Lonchura striata: one gene and its partner. The protein of the gene in region 2 purifies or fractionates together with the protein of the main gene of each other region. This does not show direct contact. Links are inferred from orthologs where the notes say so. Each region holds a gene or a part of one and is shown on either strand. Other genes may lie near its edges.

Evidence for each region. The genes of interacting proteins can lie anywhere in the genome.
Region 1: the proteins of RAPGEF2 (region 2) and MAGI1 purify together in Homo sapiens (co-immunoprecipitation; 3 studies listed by BioGRID and IntAct, with this or other methods). This does not show direct contact. The link is inferred for Lonchura striata from reciprocal best matches to the Homo sapiens genes RAPGEF2 and MAGI1.

The regions. Positions count from the first base shown.
Region 1 is NC_134614.1:18,541,914-18,552,345, forward strand, and holds the start of MAGI1 (membrane-associated guanylate kinase, WW and PDZ domain-containing protein 1), read right to left. Parts: upstream 4,348-10,432; coding exon 4,062-4,347; intron 1-4,061. UniProt on the Homo sapiens protein: Plays a role in coupling actin fibers to cell junctions in endothelial cells, via its interaction with AMOTL2 and CDH5. May regulate acid-induced ASIC3 currents by modulating its expression at the cell surface.
Region 2 is NC_134606.1:40,591,729-40,601,415, reverse strand, and holds the start of RAPGEF2 (rap guanine nucleotide exchange factor 2), read left to right. Parts: upstream 1-5,131; 5' UTR 5,132-5,203; coding exon 5,204-5,272; intron 5,273-9,687. UniProt on the Homo sapiens protein: Functions as a guanine nucleotide exchange factor (GEF), which activates Rap and Ras family of small GTPases by exchanging bound GDP for free GTP in a cAMP-dependent manner.

The DNA.
Region 1 (10,432 bases), on a different chromosome or scaffold from region 2:
TGTGGGATACTCAGCATCACCACTCACAAAGTGACTCTCTGCTTCCTTGTGTGTGCCAAACCACCAAACATGCAGCAATTTAAAGATTTTCCTTACTTCTTTTTCTTTTTTTTTTTTTTTTGTTTCACCAAAAAATCCCAAAATAACAAACAGAAATTATCTCACAAGCTCACTCAGGAAAATAATAGGAATATACTCAAATACCAGCTCACACAAACTTTTTGAAAGGAGCTGGTTTTGTCCACACTAATATATGTAACTGAGTTTAACATCTCATGTACAGCAGATGCCAGCCTGACATTGAAGCATTGAGTCACTGCACTGTATTGCAGAATTTATCTTAGGGTCAAGTTAATGTTTGAAAAGAAACAAATGCAGCTGATAGCACTGGGTAAACAGTGACTGTTTCTGCTTGGGATCACGCCTGCTCCTGTCTGCCTTGTACAGGGCAAAAAAAAACCCACAAGCACACTCGATCCCTCCCTACCGTGGGACCATCCCAGCTGCAAAGTCCTATCAAAATTATTAATTGCATAAACTGCTCTCTGCACCTCCTGGCTTCAAAGCAATAGGTCATTAGGAGCTTGAGATTCTGAGACTTTTTTAGGGAAGCAAAGCATTGAAATGAGAACTGAAAAACCAATTTAATTTACAAGCATATTAACTCTGACAGTTTCCCATACCAAGCATCTGGCTTGGTGTGGTTTGGCACAAGTCATCGAAACAAGGAGCCTTAAAAAAGACTGGAAATCTCTCTGAATGTGCCCATCTCTCACCGAGGGAGAATGAAAATCCAGATCCCCTGCCTCAAATAAAACATGGTCCTTTTTTTACAAGTACAGTCTTAATTCTTCCCTTTTGGAGGATGGCACAACAAACTTCTATTGTGCTGGACTCTGTTAATCAAGATCCATGAGAAGAAATGGTGTGCCTGATTTTACAACTGATCTATCCAATGCAATCAATTATCAGTTTATCAAAGTGAGATATTTTGACAAATGTGAAATGTATTCAAGGAAGCTACAAATTCACAGTACAGCTGGGAAATCACTACATTAAGGCAATGCCAGCTTTACACTAGAATATGTGACCACTGCTCCTATAATTCAATCTATTAATTCCATACTCTCTGACCAAGTAATAATAAAAATGCATTTATTAACTCCACAGAAGTTAATCACCAATTTCATCAGAACTTAGACACATATGTAAGATGGAAACAGTCAGTCATAAAAGCACTACATGTTAACTGAAGTTTTTTCACACATTTGACAGTTCTGAAAGTTACTAAGATACATGGCAGCAAGATTCAAGATTCTTCCTCTCTCTGCCCCAAAACAGGCAACTATAATGGCACAGCTTTATTCTCAAATGTCAAAGCAAAAAAGGGAGCATAAGGGGAAAAGGAAGGGAAAGCTCCATTCAAGTTCTTTAACCTTCTTCACTCTTCCTCCCAGGGTAAGCAAAGGACCAAGAAATCCCATATGTCCAGTATTAAACACCAGTATTTCCATTAAGAGATTTCATAGAGGTTCCTCCTTTTTGCACTTATTTTTTAAACTTACCACTCACAAAAGCAAGAAGAAAATGTTGTACGTGAACCTGTAATTTTACATACTCTGGTTTAATGATAAAGTCCATGCACAGCCTATTCAACCTACATTTCCATCCTAGTCTCTTTCACCAACAGCAAGGTCAGAACCGTTATTTTCCTGCTCATGCTTGCAAAGGAGTGACTTATAGTAAATTTCCTGTTTTTCCAGCCTTGTAAATGTCATACAAAACAGACAGGCAATAAAATGTATACATTTCCAGGCTAATATTGCCCCAGCACTTCAGCACCAATCAGTTAGAAACTACAAACTCGGAGGAGGAAAATCATAGTTAAAAACTTGTTTACAATCTTATCTGCACACTCCTTGGCTGTCTGCTCTAGTGCCACACTTTTCCTGTTGATTGACAGTTGCCATTGCCATAATCAGATTTTTAATCAACACAGAAGTAATGAATTTTAATTAAAATACTCTCCTTTTCTATGCTTATAATTCTGATACATGAGGGAGATCCCTGCTTTGCACAGAGCAGCGTGCAGATGCCAGGCTACCATTGACAGGTTTTCCAGACCACAAAAATGTTTAGAGATTTAAAAACCAAATATTTATTTATATTCCACATTCTTGGCTAATAAACTATTTCTTAAAAATATGGAGAAAGAAAAAAAAAAAAAAAAGAAACTACAATCCCACAGTAACCAAGGGCTTGGTTCTCAGCTCTAGATGGGAATAGTCCAAGGTTTAAGTGCCTGCCCTGACTTACAACCCTTTTGAACCCTTTTCTCCCACTTTCCAGGTAAACCCAACCAACACACTAAAACTCAGCTCTCTGCCCGTTCTTTTGACCATATCCTGGAGCAGAGACACATTTACCACCAAGTTCTGCCATGTGCAGTTTATTCCCAGGACATGTTTTATTTATACTAACTCATGTTTCCAAAACAGCAAAAAGTTTGATCACAAATTGTTTGGTTGGGAAGGGTTTTACACACACCTTCCTTCCACAAACACAGATCACATTGCAACACCACAAGCTGTACTTTAATACTTCTGCTAAAACAATCAGTATGTAAAAAAACCTCTGCCTAATTTCCTCATACTTTTCTTCATGCTTTTCTCCCCCTCCTGCTTGGGCAGGGAAACCAGCAGGCTGAGTTTCCCTCACCACTTCCCAGTGGAGTGAAGGCAGCAGGGAAAACAGGCATTTTTTTAAGAAAAACTGGGTATTTTGGAAGTTTGACAGCGTTTGCTGGAATGTTGCTGCTGAGTCCTGCAAGGGACTAACAAATCGCTGTGCTTTGGTGGCTCAGCTCCGGGCAGGTGGTGGAGGGCAGTGCTCAGCCTCAGCTCCTCTCCGACTCCATCGCTGTCATCTGCTCGCTCCGGAGGTTCCAGGGATGAAACAAGTGCCTGCAGCCCTTCATCTCAGCTCACCCGTGAGCCCAGGGACAAGACTTCAGGTGACAGTCCTGCCAGCTGGCCAGAAATTCTGTCTGCAGCTACCAGCTGGGTTGAACGAAGTACAGGGAAAAAAACCCCTCGCACCACAAGCCAGAGCGAAACCCCCACCTTTAGGATGCACACGTCTGGATGACAAACTTTCCCCTAAGGAATCTCTCGGGCAACACGAAGAAAACTTCCCTTCCTTCCTGCACTTGGAGCTGACCTCGGGGAGCTCCTGCAGCTCTCACAGCTCCGGCTGTCCAGCTGCAGTCCTGCTCCTCCTGGTCCAACCAGCCTCGGTGGCTGCCGCAGCACCAACAGCTTTTTGGCACTACATTGAAGTCCTGTCCTGGAAATCACAAACCCATTAGCCAGGCCTGTTAGCTAACCTGTTGAGCGACTGTGGAGTGTACACGGATGTGGAGTGGCATCTTTTAAATCCAGCATGGGAGCACTCTTCCTATCCTCTTCCTCAGCCAAACAGGAGAGCTACCTATCTGTTCCTTCCCCTGTGCGCTGCAGGGCTGGCAGCACGGATGTGCCCTCACCTAGGGTAAACCAGGGGGAAGAAAGGTAAATCCGAGTAGCCTTTCAGCCAGAGAGGGAAGATGCAGGAGGGTCCAAGCTTTTTCTTCCCACGCTGGCAGCCGGCAAACACACGCTGCACTTTCGGAACAAGCTCAGCAGCTCCAAAGGATGCTCAGCTGCTGGAGGAGGGGATCCCTCCCCATTCCCCCAGCAGTGAAGCTCCCTCAGCCTCTCCAAGGGTCAGCCGGACACCGAGCTCCCCCGGACAAGCGCGGGGTTCCCGCAGGGAGCGCCGGCAGCTCCGCGGCGCCTTTGGGAAAGTCTCACGCAATTGCTCGCTGCGCTTAGCGCAGGGCAGGGACTGCGGGGCGGCTGCAGCCGGCTCCGGACGAGGAGGTGCCTGTGCATCAGTGCCCTCGCAGAAGCTGCGCACACGCGTGGGTGCACCGGCACCCGCGGCTCCGTCCGCCCCGAGGGGCTGATGCTCGCCACCCCCGGCCACCCAGCGCCGCGGGTCCCCCCTCGTCCCCCTCGCACCTTGTCGGACGGCTTTCACCACGACGGGGTCCTTGCAGCTCCGGATCACTTCCAGCACGTCGTAGCGCGGCAGCCCCGACACGCGGACCCCCTGCACCTCCAGCAGCAGCTCGCCCTCGCTCAGCGCCGCCTCGCCGTCCCCCGCCGCCGCGCCCGCGTACGGGAACTCGCCGTGCTCCGCGCCGCCGAGCAGGGCGAAGCCCAGCTGCCCGCCGGGCCCGCGGGTCAGCGCGCACTGCCGCACCCGGCTGGACCAGTGGTTCTTCTTCTGCACGACCCGCGACATGGCGCTGCGCGTCCCTCCGCGCCCGCGGAGCGCGCTCGGCAGGTGCGCAGGGGGCGCGGACCCGCCGCCCGCTCAGGCCATCACCGCCCGCACGGCTCCGCGCCCGCGGAGGGCGCGCACCGCCCCCCGCCCGCCCCTCCGCGCCGTCCCTTCTCCCCTCTTATTAAGAAAAAAAAAAAATTAAAATTAAAAATTATTCAAAAGCGCCGAAAAAGCAAATCCGGCAGCCGCGCGGTGTTGCCGCCCCCTCTCCGCGGGCGCTGCGCGGGGCGCGGAGCCTTTGGGGCGATACAAAGCGGCGTTTGTTTTGTTCCAGTTCGGTCCGTCCCGCTCCGCCGCGCTCCGCGCCGCCGGCGCAGGCGCCCTGGCACGGCCCGCCCCGGCACGGCCCGGCCCCCGCCCGCTCCCCGCCCCCGGCACGGCCCGGCCGGCGGCCCCGGCTCCGCCCGCTCCCGCGCACAACTTCCCCGCGGGGGGAAGCGGCCGCCGGGCCCCTCGGGCCGCGCCGAGGGGGAGCCCCCCGCCTGGAATCCTCGTTCTCCGAGCCGGGCCGGAGCGCGGGTGCTCTGCCCCGCGCCCCCGGGGATGCTCATATTGCAGGGGACGGCAGATCTTTGCTTTCCCGAGAGGATTTCTAGGATTTTCCCAGTTGCAAACCACTTCTTACCTGCGCTTTCCAGGTGGTTGTTACAGGAGAGGACGCAAATACAAATCCCGAGGAGAAACTTGCACAAGCCCATCATTAAAATGGTATCAAAGTGCTTGCGCGAGGCTGAGTGAGTCTCTCCTACTCTTAGTTCTGCACTCCGGTTTTTGATTGAGTGCTCGAATTTGAGACATTAATAATGTTTTCACATTGTCCTGTCCTCGTTGTTTAGAAGCTGGGACAGACTAATAGCGAGGTCTGGCTGCTGGAGAAAGGGATGGGCATCCATTTGTTTGTCCTTCGCCAAAACTCTTCAAAGTTACCCAGAACTGGTGCAAAACTCAAAACGGGAAAGTAAGAGTGCACGTACCAGCTGTCCCTTCCAGGTCATGCTCCATGCTTCCAAACCTGAAAGCCAGGCCTCATTTCCAGCAGTCTTATGCATGACCGAACCCCTTCCAGCGCGGAATTCACTTGTCAGACGTGTGCGTGCCCTATTTTGCCGCTAATCGGGACTGAGGAGTGACACAGGGAAACAAAGAGTCTGGTCTGGCTGCCTGTGCTGCACTGATGTGTGCTCAGACAGCACAGCCCGCAGACTTTCACTGCTGCCCGCCTCGCTCTTTCATCGCTCATCCCCCCAGCCGAGCGTGTCCCGCGGAGATCCGGGATGCGGGAGGGGCGGCAGGCTCGGGGAGCATCGCTGCGTGGGGAAACAGCTCAGCCTAACATCGTCTGATGCTGGCCCAGCTGATCAGCCGGCTCAGCGCACAGAGCTCAGAGGTGACCGGGATTCTTTCCCTGCCCTCGCACCTGTCCCGGATGGAGCTGGGACGCCTGTGCTTCCCTCACCTCCTGCATTCCATGCTCCTTTCCCCAGCTGCAATCCCTCATCTGGCTGTCCTGTAGAACTCCATCGCTGCGGACGCTGCTCTGCCGCCGCGGGAGCGCAGTCCCCGGCCCGAGTGGCGCAGCCACATCCCGGCACGGGAATGGAAGGCTCGGCCAGTGTCACACAGCACAGCAGTGACCCCGCTCCATCCCCTGTGCCTCAGGCACCTCTGCCCACGGGAAGCAGATGGGATTACAGAGCTCAGGAAAGTCCTTCCAACCGAGAGGCAGAGCCTGCCTTCCCGGGTAGAAGTGGACTCGTGAAGTTCAGTGTACCTGCTGTGTCTAGCCCTCACTTGCTTCCAAGAGGTTTCTTTCCATTTGGAACTTTCATATATGTTTTCATCCTTAAAGCTGTGCTGATCCCTTATGTTTGAGCAGCAGTAACTGCCTCACATCTGCTTTTGCTGGCTCAGTAACCAGCTGCCCCATTTGTCACTTTTAGGATGACAGCACGCTTTTTACTGTGCCTTCACCAGTAAAGAGTGGATAGGTCATCAGGCTGGATCCCCTGGGCAAGAAATGCTCCAGAGGTCTGTAGACCCTACAGAACAGCAGCATAGCTTGTGGGGAAGGCTTTCTCTTTCATCTGTGCACTGGGTGATAGTTGTGTCACACACGTGAGCTCATGGTGCAGGGAGCCCCTTGTTCACAGCCCAGAGCTGGGTGTGACGTATTTTCATCATCATTTTGCAGGATGTCTTATGTGACAGCCCTGCTAAGCTAAAAATCATCTGGGTTCCATGTGAACATCACATGAGCTGTGGTTGCCCTGAATAGATCTTACGGAACTACTCATGCCTCATGGAAAAATTTTTGGAAAAGACTGTTTGGAAAAACAAGTTTTGATAGTAAAATTTATGAGATGACAGACTTCCAAGGGCCCTTTTCAGTTTGCTTACAAACACTGCAACTGTAATGAAAGTGAGCTGTCCCCATTGTAATCCTAACACTGTACCCATGTCTGGGCCACTGTGTTCCCAAAATTGTTCTTGCTGACAATTAACAAAACCGGCAACTCTCAGCCAGAACTTCATCTTGATTTTCAGATTTTCACTTCAATTTTTATCCTGGACCACTTTTCTACCATTTTATCACCTTGTTGCATCCAGGTGGTCAATCTGGAAGCTGGCACTGCTTATATCAGCTCAAATACAGCCAAGGTTTTTTGTTGTCCTGATTGCTGTGTGACTGTACTGCACCTTACTGCTGCAAGGAGATTATTTCAGGGCACAGCTGCTCCAACCACCTCTATTAAAGGAAGCTCTTGGTCAGCCTTTAACAGAACTGAGCCTGGCTGCTCCTGCCCAGAAGGGTCCCTGACACCAGCTGATGGATAATTGGGTGATTACTGCATACAAACCTGGCACTGCCTCTCATTGCAGAGCTTGGCCTCTCTCCCAGGGACAGTGGTCCTGCTTTGCAGGGGATGGATTTAATGATTAACAGACTGTCTTCATCTCTGACAACTGCAGTTCTCATAATGACACTCTCCTTTTTGTGAGGGTCTCTAAGCACTTCACAAAGAGTAATTAAGGAATCTTCAGACACACCCACCTGGGGAACAGCTGAACATGAACATGGGGCAGGGAGAAGCTCAGGGCACACTCCTCATCTGAGAATGGCTCACTGCAGCCATCCTACTTCACCTGCAGCAGCTGGTCCAGCCTCATCTCATGCAGGTCTGCATGCTCTTCACCAGCCCACAGCCCAGGACAGCGCTGTGAAAACTGACTTGGGTGGGCTCAGGCCTTTAACCAGAGCCTGATTCCCTTACTCTTTTTTCTACAGCCACTCCAACCCATGCATTGGCAGCTGCTAATTTGTCAGGATGAGAAGGCTGCTGCTTTCTTCCTCCTTCAGCAGGTGCTCTGCATGCTTTGGGCCCTGCTACAAACATACAACAGCTCAAATGGTTCTTTCAAATAGGATACTGACCCATGGTCTTGGTCTCAAACGTCTCTGAAATTTCGTGCTGTGTCCTGGATTCTAAAATGGGTCAAAGCTCTCCCATGCATCAACTCATTCTCTCAGCTTTCCTACTGAAACTTGAGGAAACCACAGTTTGACTTTTTTTGGAATGGAAAACCATGTCTAGTCACTGAGAATGTTGTGGGTTTATGGCAGTTCACAGCCATGTACTCCCACCAGAGAGCATAAAGATGACAATGATTAAGAGTACAAATGAAAGTACAGCTTATTTAATACAGCAGAATTACTGTTAATTTCCAGATAAACCCCAAACCTTTGATATCATGGGCCTCAAGGCTTTGAAGACCTCAGCATATAAATCCTGGAAAAAAAAAAAAAAAAAAAAAAAAAGAGAAAGTTTTTAAACAAGATCCAGTCTCTCAAACATTGATTGAAGTTTCCTGTGGGCACACTCACACTACCAGAATATGTTAGTAGAAAAGCCATGTATTGTGGTTATTTCCCAAACAAGAATTTTTTTATATTAATCCCACTTAACTTTTACTGGAGGAGAATTTTCTTCGCAGCATCCAGGCTTTCTCAACAGGCTGGTGCTGCTCTCTGGTAGCAAGGAGGAGATGGGCTGGTGCTGCTTTGAGTCCTGGCCCTGGCAAACATTTCAGCAGATAACCCAGCTCCAGGTACTGAACAAACCCTGTATTTACAGCAAACCTTCCAAGTGTCAGGACATGAGAAGCTCTGGTGAAAGCTACTGACCAGCCAGCACAGACAGGTCCTGCTCAGGGACAGAGCTGGGCCAGCAAAGTCCATCCCAAAATGCAGCCCCTGTGTAGGGCATTTCCAGCCTCTTGCAGCAGGGTGGCTGGAGCTCCATCCAGGGCTGCTGGCTCAAAGTGAATGTGACCACAGGATGCTGGGAAGAAAAAGGAAATTCACCCCTTAGTGGGACTTCATGTCACCTTCCTCTACAATTTATTTCAATAATATCACATAGTGGAATATAAAGCTGAAGATCAATCTCATAACCATATTAAGACACTCTGGGGTATATTTTATAGGACCATTAATATACTTCTTGGGTGGTTAATGTCACCCACAGAATAAATTAATGGCTCCATAAAACATGCTCTGTCATATCCTATGGCTTAAATAACACAGAATAGGCTGGGTATGTTGGGATGTGGTTGAACTTATTGGGTGGAAGCAAAGGGTCAGAGTGACCACCTGGGAGTGAGGATACCAGACTCAGGGGGCCCAGTCATTTTACAAAAGCAAGATTCTAGAAAATCAATCACAAATTGTAGATTTCATTAACTTTAATTAGCACTAGCACTCCCAGGTTTATTTGTTTCATTCAGGCACATCTTCCCTGCAGAAGCTGTTCTGTTCCAGGGTAGGATTGTTGTGTGTGGAGCTTTTTGGCATAGAGGGAGCCAGGCATGAAAAGATCTGAAGAAGTCAGGCACAGAGCAGGCAAAGCCTCTTGGTTAGAGAAGGGATCAGATTGGCTTTTCAGGGGAAGCTAAGCCTGCCATATGTTTCAACTTTCTGAAAGAAACTTGAAGGAAATGTCAATACAGTGTTCATTTGGGACAGATTTTATTGGAGTGGTTGTCTCTGATACCCACAGGAATATTTCCAAAAAGAAAAGAAAAAAAAAAAAATTTTCTTTCTAGTCTTTCCTGACCATGATCAAGCTACAGAAGAAGCAAATTCCTCCTCCTTGTCTGGTAGATATTGGGTCTTAAGTCACATTCTTCCCCAGGAATTTTTTTTTTTTTTTTTTTTTTTGCTATTTTAATGTTTCCACATTAAATAAGACTCTTCAGTAGACACTATCACCAAAGACTTCTCAGTAGACACTAGCTGTGTCCTGCTAAGATAAACTATCCCAATTCACCTGTCTCAGCTGATAAACCTCCACTTTTCCACTTCTGCTGCTTGAAAAAGAAAAAGGGCTCACCTCTGATTTGTAATGCAAGAGCTCAGTGCAACTGCCCAAGGCACCAACACTCACCCAAACTTGCTTCAGCTCAATAGTCTCATTCTGCCCCTTTCTTACTGCCCTTGTTCTCTCTGCAGATACAGAAGAGCCTCACTGCATCCTTAAACTCCACCCCTGCTCTGCTGAGGCTTATGGAGATGCTGTTCCCTGTCCTTCGCCTTTTGCCTCCCCTCTCCAGTCCTTACCTTTCTATTTTCTCTATGTATTTTGAACACAACCCTTGCTATTCATTCCCCCTAAAAATCCTGAAAACTAAAGCTGTATCAGGAAAGATTTCTGCTTTAAGTCTCTCCAGTGCCATAAACAGGCAAAGTCTGCACTTTTCAAATGTGCTGCATGCTGAATAAGTTCATAGTCCCTTGTGGTGGATGTGTATTAAAGTCTAATGGCTTAAAAGTGGGAAAAGATCAGGAAGAAAAAGCTGGGAATAACCCATCTCTAGCCGTAGCAAAGTCTGGTTCAAACAATTGAGTTGTCAATCTTGTGATTTGGTTTGAAAATAAAACTAGCCACAAAGGCTCAGCTTCCCGAAACTAACTGGCACATCAGTGCAGTATCTTGTCCACCAGCTCCACTTTGAAGGGGTTTGTTTTTCTCAAAAATAAAAAATC
Region 2 (9,687 bases):
TTATTGGTAAAACAGTGAAATGTAAGCTTGGGCTTTAATTTGTTCAGTCATTTAAATTTCAAAGGCAATGAGTAAGAATGAAATATTTTTTTCCTTATTTGGGATGTCATTTACTGAAATATATTATTAGAAATATATGTGACACCAAATTTGTAGATCATGAAACTGTTATGAGATACATTCAGCAGTTGAAATTGTTCCTATGTATATCCTGCCTATATTAGTTCATGGATGACTATTTGTAAAGGAGTGGAGTGCCTTTTTAACCTATACATTATTCAGAAAGTGTTATCTATCTAAAATGACACTTTAGTCTCTCTGATACTTTTGCCACTGTGTAGCAGGTGCAATTTGAGACCCACACAGAGCACCTCTCCATGCTGGCAGCCTGTCCCAGAGCACACCAGGACTGAAGCACTGACTTATTGCTGTGTGCTTTGTACCATCCCACCAATCCAACCTCATTCACCACACATCCTGATGTGCAAAAGATGCAATTTCACTGTTTCTCTCTGTGGTTAGTTTTATGTTTAAAAAAACCCCTCAAAATGCTGCTGCTACTGTTACTAGAAATAGCACTTTACTGTGCTTCTTTGTATCTCAGAATACCTAAGAAGTTTAAAAGTTGCTACTTTTGTGTCTCTTTTCACAGACGGGGAAGGTGGGGCAGATGTTGACCTGAGGTCTGGAGCACACCTTCCCAGCAGGGTACCAGGAGAGAAGACCTCCCATCTTCACTTTTACTCCTGAGGGATGAGGGGCAGACCTGTACCGTGGTCACAAGCACAGAGCAAGTTTGTGTAGATGTTCCAGACCTTCAGAAACACACACCTGACCTTCAAGAGCTGCTGCAGATTTGTTCAGTGCTCACACAGTGTGTAGCACAGTTCTGCTGTGCCTCCTGGGTGCTGCTGCAGTACAGCCACCTTTCCTTTTGTTTGGGCACCTTTATCAGTACAGCTGAAGGGAACACTGTGTGGACTGTGAATTCCTCTCCAAGATCATATAAATACTTGGACGGCACATGCTGTTTCTCTAGTATTAATCTAACTAGCTAGAGCTGGTTTGCATACATCTGCAGCTACAGCAGAAGTTTAATGATAAATACGCCCAAATGTAGCTATGCAAATAGTGGCAAATTCTGAATAAATGCATGAAATGCATTATAGTAGTCAAAAGTTCTTCTGTTTTTCCTTCAATAAAAAAAACAAAACAAAGGATGATTTTTCCTTTATGGCACAGGCCAGGTTCTCTTTTGTAATCTTCAGAATTTCATACATCTTATGAGTATAAAAGGATCATAAAACCTGTGGTAAACATTCAAGAATTATTTTACTATGGTCTGAATTAGCCTTCTACCTATCAGAGGTGCAGAGTGGTTGTTCCATATTGCGCCCATACATAAATGATTACTGGACAACAAATATCCACAATAACAGAGCATGTTATGTAAAAAATGAACAGACAAAACCACACAAACAAACAAGCAAACTCATATGCCCTTCATCATAATGCAGAAGGTACTAAAAACTGCAATTGCAAGTGGTAGTAATCCCAGCCATGTATAAATCCCAGAAGTGGGAATCATTCTTGGAAATGATGCCACCCTAAAGAGAGAGCATAGAGGCTAATCTTATTTAAAGGATAAGATACTCTCTCCTTGGTAGTGGCCTTACTTGTACCTAAAATAATTAATATTTTACTTAAAATCCAACAAAATTGGCTTCTGCCCAGTCCAGAGGGGATGGCTACTGTTCTCAAGGTCAACTCTGGAGGGGTTCACCAGGCCAATACCTCTGTTCCCCAATAACTGTCTACCTCCATGAATGGTTATGGAAGTATCTTTTTATGGTTGCCAAGAAGAAAGATATGGGAAGGAGTAGGGCAATTCTAAGGGCTGGAGTTTGACTGCATGAATCTGCTTCACCTGCTGTGCTATCTCCAGTTGATAGATGGAAACAAGTACTTACCCAAGAAATGGGAGAAAGGAGCATCCCTGGGCTTATAACCATACAGACTGTTGATAATGCTAAACTCCCTCAAAATGGCAGTGTTTTATTTCTTACCAGGGCAGACTGGTGCATCCCAAGCAAGCCAAGCATCTAACTGTGGGTGACTAACTACAGGTGTAATGAATTGAAAGTCATATGGCTAAGCTAAGTGCAAGCTTTTCAAAGTGTATTTTCTTTAAAATGAGGTTTAGCAAATGAACAAAATGTTCCCAGAACTGCTGAATTTGTTTTCTTAGCATTTTAGTAACTGTTTGACCTGACCATTTCAAATTACCACTTGAAAGAAATGGACATATTCAGGAGGGCAGATACCCTGTCTTTCTAAGGCAAAATACTTCTATAAAATAACATAGCTATTACTTCTAGCTATCCAAAAAAGATATTATGCTGAGCTGTCATATTTTGTGTTGCAGCGTTTTCATACTGTTGAAATAGCAACATTATATGAACTGCATGTGTATAGTTAACTCTTGGTTTCCTGGTGTAAGATGGGTAGGAAACCTGTGTAATGTATTACCATGACCAGAAAAACACTCCCCCTCAAAACAAACAAACAAACAAAAAAACCACCAACCAACCCAATCCATTGTAAATAAGGGTAAAGCTAGATAATATATCCTGAAGAGTAACCAATAAGCAAAATGAATGGCATGTCCTGGTATATATGTGTATTTAAAATCATACTGATTTTTTGTTGAAGATGAAAAACCGGAAGGCAGTAAGACTAAGAGAAAATGTAAGTTGCAAAAGCATTTGACACTGTAAATTATGTTTTGTTGAATACTTGCAGTGAAAAATGGGGGTTTCTGGAGATAATTGCATGTTTTCTCAAGTAATAACTGTCCTTACTCTGAATCTTGATGATTATTTACTGATTTATTGTTTATTTTTTTCTATTCAGAAGTAACTAGACTGATTTCAGCAAGAGAAAAAAAAATGGCATAAAGGACATGCTAGTATCCACCATGGAGGATATGAATAATCAGAAGTATTTGCTTTATACAAATATGTTGCTTACAGACACAAGAAAAGGTGTTAACACAACACATCCTTAAATATTATTGAGAAGTTGTTGAGTATATTTGTACATAGTTCTCTATGTACAGTTCTCTTCTTTCATTCATTCCCATTTCTAACAAGTCACGTAATGTGTTATAGGCCTTTGACACAGATCTATAACCATCGAGATTTGTGACACTGATCAGAATACAATGAGAGCCCTGAAATCCCATTCTCTGAAGAGGAATATCCCTATGAATCACAGGTATTGTGTTACCAGACAGCACAGCAAAAAATTAACCAGAGCAAAACACTCGACTTGATGCTGTTACAGCTAATAGGTCTGAAATGAAAGATAATTGCATATTAAAATAGAGTGGGTAGCTCTGTTTTGATGTAGAGATATAAAGATGTCAGGCAAGCTAGGCTGCAGCAGCAGGGAATGGGTGCCCTGAAGTGATTGAGGAGTGAAGCCCAAGAGAGCATTCCTCACATTCCTGTGGCACTCCTGCTATACATATGCCCCCCAAAAAAAGGGCATTCCAGCACTCCGGATTGGTAAACTGAGCTGCAGAAAAGCTGGCACTTTTCTATAGCTGCAGGCTTGATTAATTTGAAGGAATTATTATCATCACTGGATGATGAACACGAGGCATATTTAAACTGTTATTTTTTAGGGCACAGGACATGACATTTTCAATCTGTTACTAAAAAAAAAAAAAAAAAAAATTAAAATCCCCCATAAGGACTTCTAGTAAGCACCGATAAGCAAGATATAGAGAATGTGGAGCACTCCCTAGTATTTTCCAATGATCTGCCCAGAATAATTGGTATTACTGCAAAAATATTTTGCTGACACATATGAGTAGGATTAGCCCAAAGAGCTATCTTTGTTAATGAGCCGTATCTAGAAATTGAGTAGGTTTAGTAGATTCCTGTCTGAAGACACAGCATTTTTGAGAGCCACTTGTGTCTAAAAGCGTAACATTTTTTTCTCCTGGGACTAGCAGTGTATGTTTGGTAAGGAAAAGATGGTTATCTCTGGGAATTTTCACAAATACAAACATGAAATAAAGATGACACTACCTTACTTGGAATTGAAATGTGACTGCTAGTGACTGGGAATTAAAGAGATTTATTAGTGTTGACATTATTTACATTGTGTGATCCGTATCAGCGAAGGGTACACATCACTTGTGAAAGCAAATACATTAATAGTATTACCCCGCCGCTAATGGCACGCTAATAATACTTCCATGGTTGGCGTTTGTCAGGCTGCTGCTGAGACGGGCTCGGTGTCGCGGTAAACAAAGAAAATCAGCCATGTTGCGAGATCCTTTATTCTTTAAAAACTTAAGTTCACGTGAGAAGAATCCGCCGCTAGATAACCCCCAGAACAGTGATAAATTAACGATTTCACACCCCTCCCTTCCCCGTTTTTGCCCCACATAGCAATGACAGAGGGGACAGCCGGCTGATACGGATTACTTTTGAGAAGCGTGACAACAGGTGGCCTCCCCGAAGTCACTAGATTCGGCAGACCAAGTCTTTATCAAGTCTTTATTTTTTTTTTTTTTTTTTGGCGTCCAGGTTGCCCATCACCAGTATCCGTGCACAGGGAGCACCGCCGAAGCTGCGATGATGCGCGTCCCTCGGGACCATGGCGGCGGCCGCTCAGACTTCTTTTTTGTGGTTAAACCTGGCCAGGATGTGTTCCCAGGGGGAGGATGCTGAGGCACCGTAGCCGGAGGGGACCCTGCCGGCGGCGACCCCCGGCGACCCGCCCCCCCCCTCCTCCTCCGTCCCGCCTCGGCCCGCCCCCCGCCGCTCCGCCTCCCCGAGCCGGCAACTTCCCCGTCGCCGAGGCGGGCGCGGAGTCCCCCATCAGCCCGGATGGGAGGAGGAGGAAGAGGAGGGAGGAGGCGACGAGGACGGTGCCCGAGGGGATGCGGCGGAGCGGGCCGGCGGGAGGCGTAGAGCCGGCTCGGGAGGGAGCGCCGAGCCCTGGTCGCCGCCGCTGCCCCCGGCGGGGCTCGGCCGCCGCCGGCAGCTCCGGGCGGCGGCGCTGCTGAGCCCGCGGTGCCTGCGCGCCGCCGCTCCCCGCTCCTCGCCCGCTCCGGCCGCGCAGCGCCAGGCCGCGGCCGCCCTCCCCCAGCGCCTCCCGGGCGGCGGCGGGAGGCGGCAGGGGCGCGATGGCGTCCTACGTGGATAACAGCTTCCGCCAGGCGGTGATGAAGAACCCGGCGGAGCGCAGCCCCCAGGTAAGCGCGCCGTGCCCCGCGGCTCCCGCGGGCGGAGGGGCCGCCCCGCTGCCCCCGCCCGCCCCGCGCAGCCCCGGCCGGGGCGGTCGGAGCCCCACGGCCCCGCTTCGGGCGGCGCGGCCACGGCTGACCCCGCTCCCAGCCCCCGCCGAACTCCCCAGCGCCGAATTCCCGGTCGGCAGCTCCCGGGAAGGGAAGGCGCGCATTAACGCGACAACTTTCCTCCTACTCCCTAATTTTGGGGGAAGGAGAGGGAGAAACGCCAGCTGGGTTTGTTTTGAAGGTTGCTTCCGGTGAAAAGAAAATGAACTTAGAGTACAATTTTTCGGTGATGTGGTTTTCCTTTTTTCCTTTCTTCTCTCTCTCTCTCTCTCTCTCTTTTTTTTTTTTTTTCCCTCTGTGTGTCAGTGTGTGTGTTTTGTTATTGCCCCGGAGTACGGGTGGCTCAGGATTTGAATTCAATCCCTACTTTTACATAGCTGGCTGGAGCTGGCAGTGCTGTTTCATAATGTAGGGGCTGAGGTCAGTGGTATTCTTGGCAAGTCCTTGCTCTCCAAAGTAGGGTGAAATCCTTACACAATGGCACCAGGCAGGAATTTTTTAGATACCTGCGCCGCGATCCTGGAGCCCCCTTTATCAGAGGAGTGTGTGAGTCGAAGCTGTTTGTAAGCGTAGTTGCGCTTAGAGAGGCTGAGAAAGGTTAAGCTGGGGACTGGAGTGCGTACGGAAACATTTTGACTTAACATGACCTGAAAAACAACTAAACTGAATGAGTTCCTTCTGCTCCCGAACGGTTGCTGCAGTGGCTGTTGCTGCCAACTGTCTAAAGACTAATAAGCTTTACACTGATCCCCACATCAAGCTGCGGTTCAATAGCTAATGATACAAGGAGTTACTTTGCTTGGAGTTGTAATGCCATCTGTCCTATTTTCTAAAGGCTTGTCCTGCTCTCTGAGCAGTCCCTGTATTCGGGTTTTGGGGAAGAGATGCTGTTACTGATTGTTTTGGCAGGCGTCTGACTGGCTGGTGATGATTTCAAATTGGGGCAAAGAGGAAACCTTGACTTCTGCTCAGCACCCATAAGTCATTCCTCCTACTATAGATACGTCATTGTGGTAATGTTATTTTTATCCCTGTACTCATGGAATCTGTGTGAGAAAATAAAACTTCTCATGGAAAAACATACTGACTGCATAGGCATCGTATGTGGCATGCCTTTTTGGCAACTCTGTTTTTTTCTTCTTTTTTTAAAAAAAAAAAGAAAAGGAAGCTGCTTCTGGAACATGTTTTTGTGGTGCTAAACTTGTTTCTCTGTCCTTGTTTGACCTTTTCCAAATGTCTGTTTGCCTTGAGTGCTGGACCCAGCCCTTCAGCGTGTTGTGAAAGCTGAAGGAGGCTGAGTGCTCCCTCCTGGAGAAGACACTCTCTGCAAACTCGCAGCGAGGTCCCTTGAATTGGTAGAGGCATAGATTCCAGCTGGGGGGAGCCTAGCAGCAGTGTCCAGCCTCAGGACATGGTTATGGAAGCACGGTGGGGTGCTCAGGAGGAGAGATGCAGGCAGATGCTCAAAAACCACTAGGTCAGGCTGTGGGGCCACCAGGCTGGGCTTGGGGGATGATGCTTTCCCTGTGGTGTGAACTGTTAAACTTTCTCATGTCCTTGCCAGTTGGCCTTGCTGTCTAGAAGGGATAATAAGGAAACACAGAAAGGTAGAGAGTAAGAAATGACGCAGTGAAGAATCCAGCCTGAATGCAGGGATAAAGCCCAGTGAAGGGCACAGAGCAGAGAGCTAAATTGGGAACACCAGGGCTGCGTTAGTGCTGGAAAACTTCCCCAGTCAGCACGCTGGCAGCCTGCTGTGGCAATCACCACAGGAAAAGAAACCCACCCTTAAATCCATGAAACTGACACTGACCCAAAATAATCCACAAATAAGACCAAGTATGTGGGAAATCTAATGCATTGTTAGCGCTGGAAATACTTGAAACTGGTGGTGCCCTCCTGTTGCTGCTGGAGAGATTGGGCTTGCAGCAGAAAACCTGGTGTTTTTGTAAATGGCTCGTGTTGAATTATGTGTGTTAATTTTCTACTGATGGTTCTCTGTTAAGTAAGTTTGATTTTATTTTACAACTGTATTGCAATTTGAAAGAAATATGTTTATGCACTTCATCTTTCATCATTACATGAAAAGGAAAAAATATATAGAAATGTACAAAGACCTTGTTTTTCCTTCTTCCCTTCAAGTAACTTATTGTCTCTTTACTTGTCTTTTCCTGTCCTTGCTATGCTATCTCTAAAAGAGAGCTACTTAATTTTGGTTTTTGGAAAGTCATGAGGGTTTTTTAAAGTTGAGAGAGGGTTGGAAAGAGAAAATATATTTATCATATTCATGTCAGTGCAGGAAATAGCAAGGGAAGTATGTTAGTAGCATATTTGCTTCTTTCTTATGTTAGCAAACTCTTTGGGGCTCAGCTTCTCCCAAATAATGATGAGGTAAATATCTGTTTGACATTTCTATTCACCCTGGACTGTCAGGGTGCAAATTTGGCACCATGCCTTCACTGCAGGCTCAGAGGACAGGAGTGACAGAATGATAGCCAGTATGTACAACTTAGAGAAGTAGGTCTGATAAACATTGTTGGGGAAAGCAAACTTAACTTGGCATGAACATTTATAGTGCAAAAATCTCCTGGTAATTTTGGATTGAACTGATTTTTTTTTTCCTTGAGGTAAACAGTTTATTCTGCAACTGCTTTTGTAAATTTATAACTTTATATCTCTTTGGTATATCCTCCTTTACAGAGTGTTCCTGACTTTTGTGAATCACAACTCGGTATTCTGTTGGCTAAAGAAAATGAGAAATAAAAGAAAAGGATTTATACGTGGCCTGTACTTTAACATGCCTGTTGTGTAACTCTTCTCTTTAATTGATGTATTAAACTATTCATTTTCTCTTTGAAGACATGAACTAGGAAGTTAATTTAACTACTTTGGGGAATCTAGCTTTTAAATGTTCATAAATTACAAATGGTTTTATGCCCTTAAGCTGTGAGTAATAGTGATCTAGTTTTTTTCTCTCCTAACATCCTCTCATATGGACTGTTATAGCTTTGATTCTTTATAAAAATTCTTTTTGGCATCATAGGCCATTTTAGAAAGCATGCAGTTTTATATTGTTGTAGCTTGGCTTGAAAAAATAGGGCTGCTTTTGTTTTCAAACAAGAGAAACTGAGCCCTAATCTTTCTTTATCCTAACAACTCATTTGCATGGCATGGTATATGAATAGCTGGTTGCTTCAGAAACTCTGCATACTGTTCACTGTTTTCATGCCATGTGGTGACGTCTGTAGGAAGAAATTTTTTGAGTGTGTGCCTTATACATGTTAGATGCCCAAGGTTTGCTTCTGGGAACTGCCAGTGTGGTACACCAGGGCAGTTCAACACAGCAGTAATGGAGAGCAGCGATGCGACAGCATCGCACCAGATCTTCAGGGTGGAGGGGAGAACTGTACAGTAGCCCTTAGTTTGATACTTATGCGTCATTTAATGGCAGAAGGCATCTAAACAGGATGCTGTTGTAAAGCAGATACTCCTTTCTTGAACACTTGAGAGGAAAAATGGTTTAATTATAGGATGTACCTATGCTTTTTCCAAATAAACTTTCGGCTTGTTTCCCAGATGTGTTATTTTTATACTTGTAACCAGTGATAACATGATTGTGTGCAATCTTCAGATAAGCCAGAAATGAACATTTCCTTCTTGCTACAGTGATCTCTTAAACTACACAGCCTTGTATTTATTTTTTAATAGGATCAGCGATACTAAGCGTTTTATATGTGAGTCTAGCAAAAGAATATTTAGTCTTTAAATTTGGCCTGATCGTGTGTCTGTATATCAAATACATTAGAAGACTAAAATGATCTTTTTCAAAAGAGTTTATTTGGGATTTCTTTCCTTTGAAAAATGAAAATATGTTGAAGCTTGAGTTGTGCTTTCACATTTTCTTCACTGTCAGCATTCTACTGTGTTGCCATCTTTTTGAGGTGAGCATTTACAGAGGAGGATAACCCCTGTAATCAGGCTGCTAACAGCAGTATAATGCTGAGAACTGATTCTGTTGCTAAACTCTCCTGCTGGTTCTTGGTAGCCCTGAGAAGTGAAGGACTGTGACAGCTGATGCCTGGTATTTGCCTGTATTGCATTGATATAGTGGTCGTTCCATAATGTATCTCAGGGCTTTGTTATGTGGTTATTCAGGGGCAGCCTTACTTTGCAAGGCTGGACTGCTGTTTCTTTCTGGGGAGTCCATTTGACCAACAAAATTGGATTCCTAACTCTGCTTCCCATAGTGGTGGTCAGGCTTTCTGCTTACTGCAGTGACTAATTCTGAGGTGGGGTCATGAGCCTGTTATATT